2 linked regions of the Ovis aries genome follow. The protein of the gene in region 2 purifies or fractionates together with the protein of the main gene of each other region. This does not show direct contact. Links are inferred from orthologs where the notes say so. Each region holds a gene or a part of one and is shown on either strand. Other genes may lie near its edges.

Region 1 (4,798 bases), on a different chromosome or scaffold from region 2:
ACTAGTTCATAAATATGAAAGGTTTTAAAAAGAAGTCAGCTAGTCAGTAATGGGGGGGGGGGGGGGGGGGGAATTGACCTTATTCTGATTTATCTCCTGCAAGCACAGTGAGCAACAAAAAGACTACCTAAACAGTTAATGAACGCTCTCTCACTGAACCTGATTCCAAAAAATGACTAGAATGCCCCTGAAGTTAGGCACTATTGATATGTAACAACAGTGTGCCCTGTATTTCAAGTAAACATCTGTCCACAAAGGCCAGATTATCCCATTTTTTAAAGGAGCTATCGTAGCTGGTCAAAGAATTTAACCAAAACCTGATTCTACCTTTCTCAATAACTCAAACATCTTTCAAGTTTTGTCCTTTGAACATACTGTGTTTTAGTATACCACATCTGCCTCCTACACACAGATGGAGAAAGAGAAATGTTGGTTAAAAATAAGTATGTAAACTTAAAGGTTGCTACTCAAACTGCGAATGCAATTTAAAGCTTTGTTATATTCAAGTCAGTAAGCAAGGACTCATTTCTTGGAAAGAATTATAAATCTGAATTTGGAAAACAAGATAACATCCTAATGATACTACTTGACTGGTTTTTGCAGCTTTCTTTCGGTATTACAAATACTCCATCAGTCAAGGCTTCAGAGAGCTCTCACCAGCCCACAGGAATTCCACCTCACCTCCTGGACTTTCCTGCTGAAAAAGTGCATTGGAAAATACAGTGTGTTTTATGTACTTCTACTCAGATGGTAAACAATTTGTCTGTAATGCAGGAGACCTGGGTTTGATCCCTGGGTCGGGAAGATCGCCTGGAGAAGGGAATGGCTACCCACTCCAGTATTCTTGCCTGGATAATCCCATGGACAGAGGAGTCTGGGGGGCTACAGTCCATGGGGTCACAAAGGGTCAGACTGTACTGAACAAATAACTCTTTCACTTTCACAGAACATAAATAGCAAAGACTCGGTCACCATTATTTCAGTGACATTAGCCAATTTCTGTTTCTCAGTCCAAAACACAGCCCAAAATTAAAATATATACGCTTTTTCAGTGAAGCACACCTCCTCTTTGCAAAAAAAAAATCTACTCTTAATCCATCCTGTGCAAATTAAAAATTTTAAGAACAATACAGATCCAGGTGTCTTATGCATGCATGCATGAGTGTGCGCTCAATCACTTCAGTTGTGTCCAACTCTTTTGCGACCCTTTGGACTGTAACCCGCCGGGCTTCTCTGTCCATGGGACTTCCCAGGCAAGAATACTGGATCGGTTTGCCATTTCCTCCTCAAGGGGATCTTCCCCACCCAGGGACTGAACCCATGTCTCTGGTGGTTCCTGCACTGCAGGTGGATTCTTTACCACTGAACCACCAGGGAAGCCCTTAGGTGTTTTATAAACAACAGCAAACAAAACACCTCTTTTTTGCCCTGCAACCTAACTGGTATCTGGCTAGAAACACAGAGAACCCCATCAACAAAGTCCTGTGTCTCCACACTTCCCGACCTGGGTTTATTAGATGCAATATTGTGGCTTCTTTCTTTCCTCTCCGGAAATGCCCTGACGTACAGGCACCTGGGATGCAGCTTTTGATTCACAAAGAAGTCCACGCCCGTTTCCTCCCGACCTGGCAACAGAAGGATCCTCACTGCTGAGGCACTCTGGTGAAAGAAAGGGAAACTTGACTCAGGAGTCCCAGCCCAAATACTTTCTTTGCTTCCCCAAAAGAAAGAGCCTTCAGCACTGATAAGTGAGGGTTCTCAATCAGTGTATGAGGTCGTTTTTCCCCAGAAAGTCAATCATACCCAGTTAGTGACCTGGGCACACAAACACCAAGCAAGAAACAGCTAAAGGGTTTGAAACCGGAAATAAACAAAAAAACAGAATTCTGTACTTCTGCTGATCTAAATATCCTTTTGCTCCCTACAGGCAGTTCCTTTCCCTACATACCGAACTGGAACATGAGATCAAGTTCTTCTTCTATTGCTCCCTGCAATTCTTATTGAAAATAAGGATCTGTTTTGGCCCCACATGTTGAAAAATTCATGTTCCTATAATTAAGAGTTTGTTTGCCACGCCTTCAGCCACATTTCCCAGTTAAAACTCCCTTCTCTAAAAATGATCCATGAAAACAACTACCAGCTCTCGTCTTTCTCTGAAACAGCCACAGAAAACAGATATGAAGGTTCTCAACAGCCTTTCTAACCTTTCCAGATCACAACGTTGGCAACCAAAGGGATCCTCCGTTAGGATGTGAGAGAAAAAGAACCGGCGTTGAAGCATGCCCCCAAGAGACCGGTCTTCCCACAAGCTCATAATTAATACACTCCAAGTGAATTTCTCACGTTCTGACGGAACTATAAAAAAGGATTTCTTATATTATGATATAAAAAATATGAATAACATTGACAGACTTTCATTTAAATGTAATACACCACAGGGGAGCCAATAAAACACAAAAACTTTTGTTCTCTCATCATAATTTTTGAGTCGATATTTCATAAACTTTTTGTGACATTTTAAAATAACACACACACACCCCTACACACACACACCCCTACACACACCCACACACACAGACACCACACTTCTCTGATTGGGGTTCTCAAGTATTATTAGGAGACTGGGGAGGGGGCGGTATTTAAGGAAACAGACAAGATCTCACACGTCCAATCCTGGAGGTATTTTTCACCTAAAAGCTAGTTGGGAGCCCCAGGAGTTAAGCCTTACCCCACCCACCAAAAAGTGCCTGCTCCCACTGGGAAACTGGAGTGAGCTGGAAAAGAAAATCGAGCGGTGAAAAGGAGGAGCAGCTGCAACCACACAACGGTGCCACTACACTCCGGTCCCCGAGAGGAGCCAAGCGCCCTTACCTGGGGGGAGGAGAGCCGCCAGCACGAGTTGCAAAAGTTGTGCTTCACCTTCGCCCGGAGTTCAAAGCGCCGGCACTCCGGCCCCACCGCAGGCTGGCTGCCCCGAGTCCTCTCTCGCCCGGCTCCCGCCTTCCCCACCCTCTCGGCCCTACACCATGTCAGGAATCCGGGCAAGCACCGAGCTGGGAGCTGACATCACTCCCAGTCCCAGGTACCTCCCCTCCCTCGCGCCCTCCCACCTCCCTCGCCGCGGGAAAGAGCCAAAGAGAGCGCGCGGGAGGGGCGTCGGCGCGCCGCGGTTCGCTCTGATTGGGCCCTCGGACTGTCACTCAGAGGAGCCCACTAATTTTACACATTCCTCTCTGAGCCCGGCGCTGGGCTGGAAGTGGGTGTTGATGGAAAAAAATGCTGCCTTTCCTGCTATCTGTAAGGGAAGGAGAATCATGGTACGAGGAAGATCCTTGCAGGTGGTGTTTTAAACTTTTCTTGGCGCGTTTCCCAATCCCCCAGGTCAGAAACGAAACTAACCTATCCAAGCCCCCCTTTGAAGGAAAAACTGTCGCCTGTGTGTCACGGGCAAGTCCGAGTCCGGCGGCGCGTGCAGCAGAAAATGGCTAGCTTGAAGTCAGACAAATAAAGGAAACCGCCAGCTCGCTCAGCTCCCCTTTTATCTTGGGGTTGCTGGGCGTTCCCTTAGAACGGGAAATTTAGAACTTCAAAAGCTCTTCGAGAAGATAGGGAGGACAATCCTAGAAACTGCGACCCAGCTCTAGATTGTTAACCCTGGGGCGTTATCGACCATGCGGTTTGCTTTTGCTTTTAGTGACGAAAATCACAGCACGCGAGCTTCCAGGCAAATAAAATTGAACCTCTGAAGTAATAAAAATTACTGTTTACCTTTTTTTAAAGACCTCAGGGCTGCTGTTTTTATACACAACTGAAAAGGGGTGGAAATCTCACAATTGAGTTCAGCAAGCCACAGGAGAATAATTATTGTTGAATGGAATCAATTGCAGTGGCTGAGCTATCAATTAAGAATTAACTAACGTTTACCCTGGCAGCTATCAGGCTATACCCTGGCTAATAGAACAGAGAGATTCTCAGGAAATGGGTCTTTCAGTTTGCCTAATAACTGCCCCAAGGCAGGACTGAATTGTGAAACGTGGCCGTCTTTATATGAGATAAAGATAGATTATCCGTCATCTTCTGGAATTACAATGCACTGATTACTGACTTTCTCTTCATTTTTATTGTTTGTTTTTTTGATGGATGAGGACGTGTTTATTTTGCCATTCTGCCACAAATTGTAGAAGGGATGCACAGAGTCCACCAGTGTGTCTGAGTTAATTCCCACAACCATCCTGTAAAGTGAGTGTCATTAGCCCCATTTCAACATAAAGGAATGAAAGGCTCAGCAAGGTTACATAAGTAAATGGCTCCAGGACTGCAGTTGAAACCAAGGTTTATTGGATTCTGAAGCTATTTCTTCTCTCTAGAGCAGTGATTGCCCACAATCTACACACATATAATGCCAAAAATAATAATAATAATAATAATCCACCAACCCCAGCAACTGCTCTCACAGACCAATTTCTATATTATCAACATTGTGCTGTTTGTCAAACCTACACTGCTCCAAGCTCCTAACTTTACTGAATCCATTTTCCCCCAGCTCTAAGTCCTTCTATGCACTACTTCCAAATAAGTTTGCTAAAACCCTGTTTGGTTTTGCTGTCAGCATCTTCCTCTTCCAAATCAGGTCCCTCTTGCCATGCAGTTCTTTGCTGGCCATTTAAAACTCTCTTATCTGGGCTCTCTGCACCTTTCCCACCTTGTTGCCCCCTTCACTCCTGGGAAACATTTCACTGCAAACTGGTCTACTCCCAGATTCTTGATTGCATCTCACCTACTGGCCTACCTGGAATCC
Region 2 (4,552 bases):
TGGGCACGTCAGCTCTCCCCTTCCCAGCCCCCCAGGCTCCTGCTTCTAGAATCTCCCAGGTTTGCCCCTGGTGTGTCAACCCATGGGTCCAGGAGACACGAGGGGACCATCCCCAGAATCACAGCTAGTGATTTGAAGAGCAGCCAGCCGCTGCCTCCGCCCACCAGCCACAGCGGTGGTGGCTGTCAAGGCCCAGAAGAGCATGTCTGGGAGAGAGATTGTGGCGGCAAAGGCCCCTTTTGTTCCTAATAAAGAACTGGCATCACTTGGCTCTGTTTGGTTCTTCTGAGAGGACGGCCTGGGGACAGAGTCCCACTGGGGCGTCACCCCTCCCTGGACTTTTCCACGGGAGGACAGGAGGTTGAGGGCAGTTTCAGACCCTGCGGAAATGAAATGGTCCTAATGTCCAGCAGGAAGGCATGGGGGCAACTCGGGGACGATGCCCATGGGAGGATGGTTTGCGGGGGGGGCTCTCTGTCTGTCTGTCTGTCTGTATCGGGCAGGTCTCTGAAGAAGAAGCTCCCTTGGGCTGTGAAGGAGGTGAGAGGAGGGTCAAACTCAGTCCCCCAGACCAGATGTTCTGGGAGGAGGGTGGGGCCGTAGGGGAGAGGGCGGGTCTGTCCCCGGCCCCTGGGCTATGAGAGCCCAGAGTGCAGCACTAATCTGATCAGGGGTTGGACTAGGGTGTTGCTCCCTGATCATTTGGGGAGGGGTGCTCTGCTGCTGAAGGGGGAAGGAGAGAGACCTTCAGGCAGACCCCTCTCCTTGAAGCCACAGCCACCTGAGGGGTTAACCCCCGACTCCTGACCCTCCCTCAACCCCTGAGCTCATACCTTACCCTGGGAGGTTCCCTTGATCCTTGCCTCCCCTCATTTTGTGCTGCATCACCTCTAACTTTCCTCCGCTCCCTGCCCTCTTCATCCCTGACACCCAGCCCAAATCTAAGCCCCCTCCCAAAGCCCTCTGCCAAATCTAAGCCCCCTCCCAACGCCCTCTGCCACCCCACTGCTCTCGGTCCCTTCAGTCCATCCCTGAGCCCCAAGGCATGCCTCTCCTTCCCCATTCCATCACTCTGGCATCCAGCGCCTTTCTGCAAGGATGTGCCTGCGGGGGGTCCCCAAGCCTCCTTTGGGTGTTAGCCAGTTCCTCCTCCCAGACCCCCAGCTCCCACTGTCCCGGGGCTCACTCCACAAGGTAGGAAGCTCTTTGGGGAGGGGTGCAGGGCAGCGTGAGCCGTCCCCAGCACCGAAACTGAGGGGCCCTCCCTGTCTTCTCAGGCTGCCGCATCCCAGGGCAGTTTCCCACCTGCCACCTTCCACCCCTCTATGCTGGCTGCCTGGTGGGACCACGTCCTCCTTGTCCCTCATGCCCCAGGCACAACCTGTCCCTCCCCCCAGCTCCCTAAAACTCGAGCTGAGCTGTGCACACCCACCCTCCAGGCCCCTGCCTGTGCCCCTGGGGCTCTCCCATGTCCGTCTGTGCCTGCTGGGGCAGGAAGCTAGCTTTCCAGGCTGGGCGGGTGGAGGGGGGTGGAGGGGGGCCGTGGCGTTCACCACATCAGCCCACGATAGGAGGGCTGGGTCCTGTTCTCCCGCATCCCCTGCCATGGGCAGGGCCTGGCCCGGGTATAAATAGGTCAGACTGCTGGGTTCTCCCCATTCTTCCTCTCTCCCCATCATCTCTCCCCAGCACTTCCTCTCTCTTGGTGAGTTGTGGTCGCCTGACTGGCATGCAAGAGGTGTCAGGCCGAGGCTGGGTGCAGGAGAAAGGGAGGTGGATGGGGGCCAGAGGCACTAAACGGGTCCAGATGTGAGATTCCGATGTGGAGGCTCTGGGGTGGGTGGTGTGCGTGTGCACAAGTGCGTGTGCACTCAGGAAAGAACAACAAGTGTGAGGTGGCTGGTGGGAACTGTCTGAGGGGTTCTGTGATGCCGGGGCTTGCGTGCGTTGTTGCTGCTGTACACACTGGTGGGTGTGTGGGCTGGTGTCTGCTGGGTGGCACACTTGGATGTGGAAAGCACAGTGAAGGCAGAAGGCGCCTGTGGGCTCTGGCTGGTTATGTCCTAGGAGCCTCGGTCCTGCACCAGCAGCCCAGCCCAAGGGAGGGTGGCCTCCCCGTCCCTGCCCTGCATCCGTGCCTCTGCCACCTCACCCTGCCCCTCCCTATGCACTGGTTTTTTCCGCTAGGCCCCTGGGCAAGCCTCCAGCAGCCTCACCCAGCCCAGTGTTGGGAGGGGGAAAGAATGGGCTGGGGTGGGGCTGCTGTGGGCTGAGCGTACCAGTGAGTGAATGGACCAAGTGAGGGTGGAGAAAGTGCTCCTGGGGAGCTGGCTGCCTGGAACCCGGAGCCTGAGCACCAGGCCCTGCAGGGGTTCACTGCCCCAAGCATACATTTCCCTCTCCCGCTAGGAGCTGAACCCCTTTCTGGATGGGAGCAGTGTCACCAATGTGCTCCCTGAGGGATGGGAGTGGGGGGCATTTACAAATACATAGCTGGGGGTGGGGTGGGGAAAATAAGGTTGTCTCTGTGACCCTGCCCCCAGCTCCTGATTGCTGCCATGGCGTACCCCCTGGAGAAGGCCCTCGATGTGATGGTGTCCACCTTCCACAAGTACTCGGGCAAGGAGGGTGACAAGTTCAAGCTCAACAAGTCTGAGCTAAAGGAGCTGCTGACCCGGGAGCTGCCCAGCTTTTTAGGGGTGAGTGATACTGCCTGGGAGGCACCCGTCCTCTGTGAAGCATTACCTACAGCTGGCATCTGCTGCTGACACGGGCAATTTCCAGGCAGAGAGCTTACCCTGGCTGCCTGGGGCCAAAGCACGGTGAGCACCCACAGCTCACTTCCTAGCACCCTCAGAAAGAGGGCAGAGTGAGCAGATAGGGTATGGTGCTCTGTACAACTTCCCTGGAGGGAAACTGATGCTCAGAGAGGCTAAGTAACTTCCCAAGGAAGTCCGTGTTTAAAGCTGAGATCATGAACTGCGATGGTCAAACTCTTGCCATCACTCCAGCAATGAAACTTGTTGTTGTTTTTTTTTAAGATTCTGTGAAAGTTATATGCCTTTTTTTTTTAAGTTGAAATATCGTTGATTTACACTGTGTTTATTTCAGGTGTACAGCAAAGTGATTTAGCTATATATACACATATCTATTTTTTCAGATTTTTTTCCATTATAAGGTATTACACAATATTGAATACAGTTACCTGTGTGATACAGTAAATCCTTGTTGCTTATCTCTTTTATATACAGTAGTGTATATCTGTTAACCTCATATTTCTATTTTATCACCATCCCCCCGCCCCATAAACCATTTTTGAGTTTCTGTTTGGCTTGTGGACGTGAAGATACAGTTCTCTGGAGACACTCACACACTTACAGAATTCTCTTGAGCAATCCCAGATGCCGTCTGTATCAACCTTTACGCTGTTTATCTATTGCTTTCATGACCACTGTATGATTGGACTCTTAAAATGACCTTGGCAGAAGAGGCTGTGGTCTCCTTTACGCAGTTGTACCCAGGTCCTCAGACTTCATCTGAGGGGTAGCTTAGCCCCTAGGGCTGGAGGTCCAGAGCCAGGCCCCGCAGGGGTGCCTGTGTCCTCCTGAGCTCCCGTCTGGAGCTCAGACCTCACCCGGTGCTAGCTCTGCTCCACTTCCCGACCCCGACCTCGCTTCCGGTTTCCACCTGTAGCCTCTTCCTCCTGCAGAAAAGGACGGATGAAGCTGCGTTCCAGAAACTGATGAGCAACCTGGACTGCAACAAGGACAACGAGGTGGACTTCCAGGAGTACTGCGTCTTCCTGTCCTGCATCGCCATGATGTGCAATGAGTTCTTCGAAGGGTTCCCTGATAAGCAGCCCCGGAAAAAATGAAGGCTCCTCAGGTGTGGGGCAGGGGTGGGCTGCCAGCTGGGGTCTTCCCTGTTGGCGGTGGGCGCATCACCTCACCCTGGCTCCTCCAGATGTGAGCACAATACTGAACAAGTTCAATAAAGATTCTTGAAAGCTATGAGGCTGATGGTCTGAGAAACTCCGGGGGCGTGGGGTGGGGCCTGAGGGATGCCTGGTGGGGCCAGTGGGGAGGGGGTAATGGAGGATGCTGGGAGTTGAGCTGTAGTCTTCTGGAGAGTGGAGAGCAGATTAGTGAAAGTGGAGAGGGATGTGGGGGACTGTGCATGTGTGTGAAGGACAGAGTCGACTCTGGATGGGGTCAAAGGCAGGGAAAGGGACCCCAGAGGCTTGGAACATCCTGGCTGTAGGATCTTAGCCAGTGTTCTCACCCATCCCACCTCCCCAGCCTTGCCTCTGGCAGGATCTCTGACTGAGGCTGGGATGGATTCGGAGGTCACATCTGCTCCTGGTTGGGGTCTGGAATGGAGTGTGGGTGCCCTGGGGTGGTGGGGAAAGGGCTGAGTCATGGGGAGGAAGTAGTGAGGCCAGAGTGGGATGGGGAGGAAGGCTCAGTCCTGACACTTACAGCTCGGGCCCTGCCTGCCACCTGTTCCAGTGGCCTGGCTTCAGACCCCAGGGAAGATGAATCCTTCCTGTCCA

Evidence for each region. Proteins that work in one complex are often made in the same cells at the same time.
Region 1: the proteins of S100A4 (region 2) and PPFIBP1 purify together in Homo sapiens (co-immunoprecipitation; 3 studies listed by BioGRID and IntAct, with this or other methods). This does not show direct contact. The link is inferred for Ovis aries from reciprocal best matches to the Homo sapiens genes S100A4 and PPFIBP1.

Annotation. Positions count from the first base shown.
Region 1 is NC_056056.1:187,918,136-187,922,933, forward strand, and holds the start of PPFIBP1 (liprin-beta-1), read right to left. Parts: upstream 3,040-4,798; 5' UTR 2,872-3,039; intron 1,660-2,871; exon of another isoform or gene 1,505-1,659; intron 1-1,504. UniProt on the Homo sapiens protein: May regulate the disassembly of focal adhesions. Did not bind receptor-like tyrosine phosphatases type 2A.
Region 2 is NC_056054.1:104,001,716-104,006,267, reverse strand, and holds S100A4 (protein S100-A4), read left to right. Parts: upstream 1-1,547; 5' UTR 1,548-1,705; intron 1,706-2,543; 5' UTR 2,544-2,558; coding exon 2,559-2,699; intron 2,700-3,709; coding exon 3,710-3,874; 3' UTR 3,875-4,010; downstream 4,011-4,552. UniProt on the Homo sapiens protein: Calcium-binding protein that plays a role in various cellular processes including motility, angiogenesis, cell differentiation, apoptosis, and autophagy.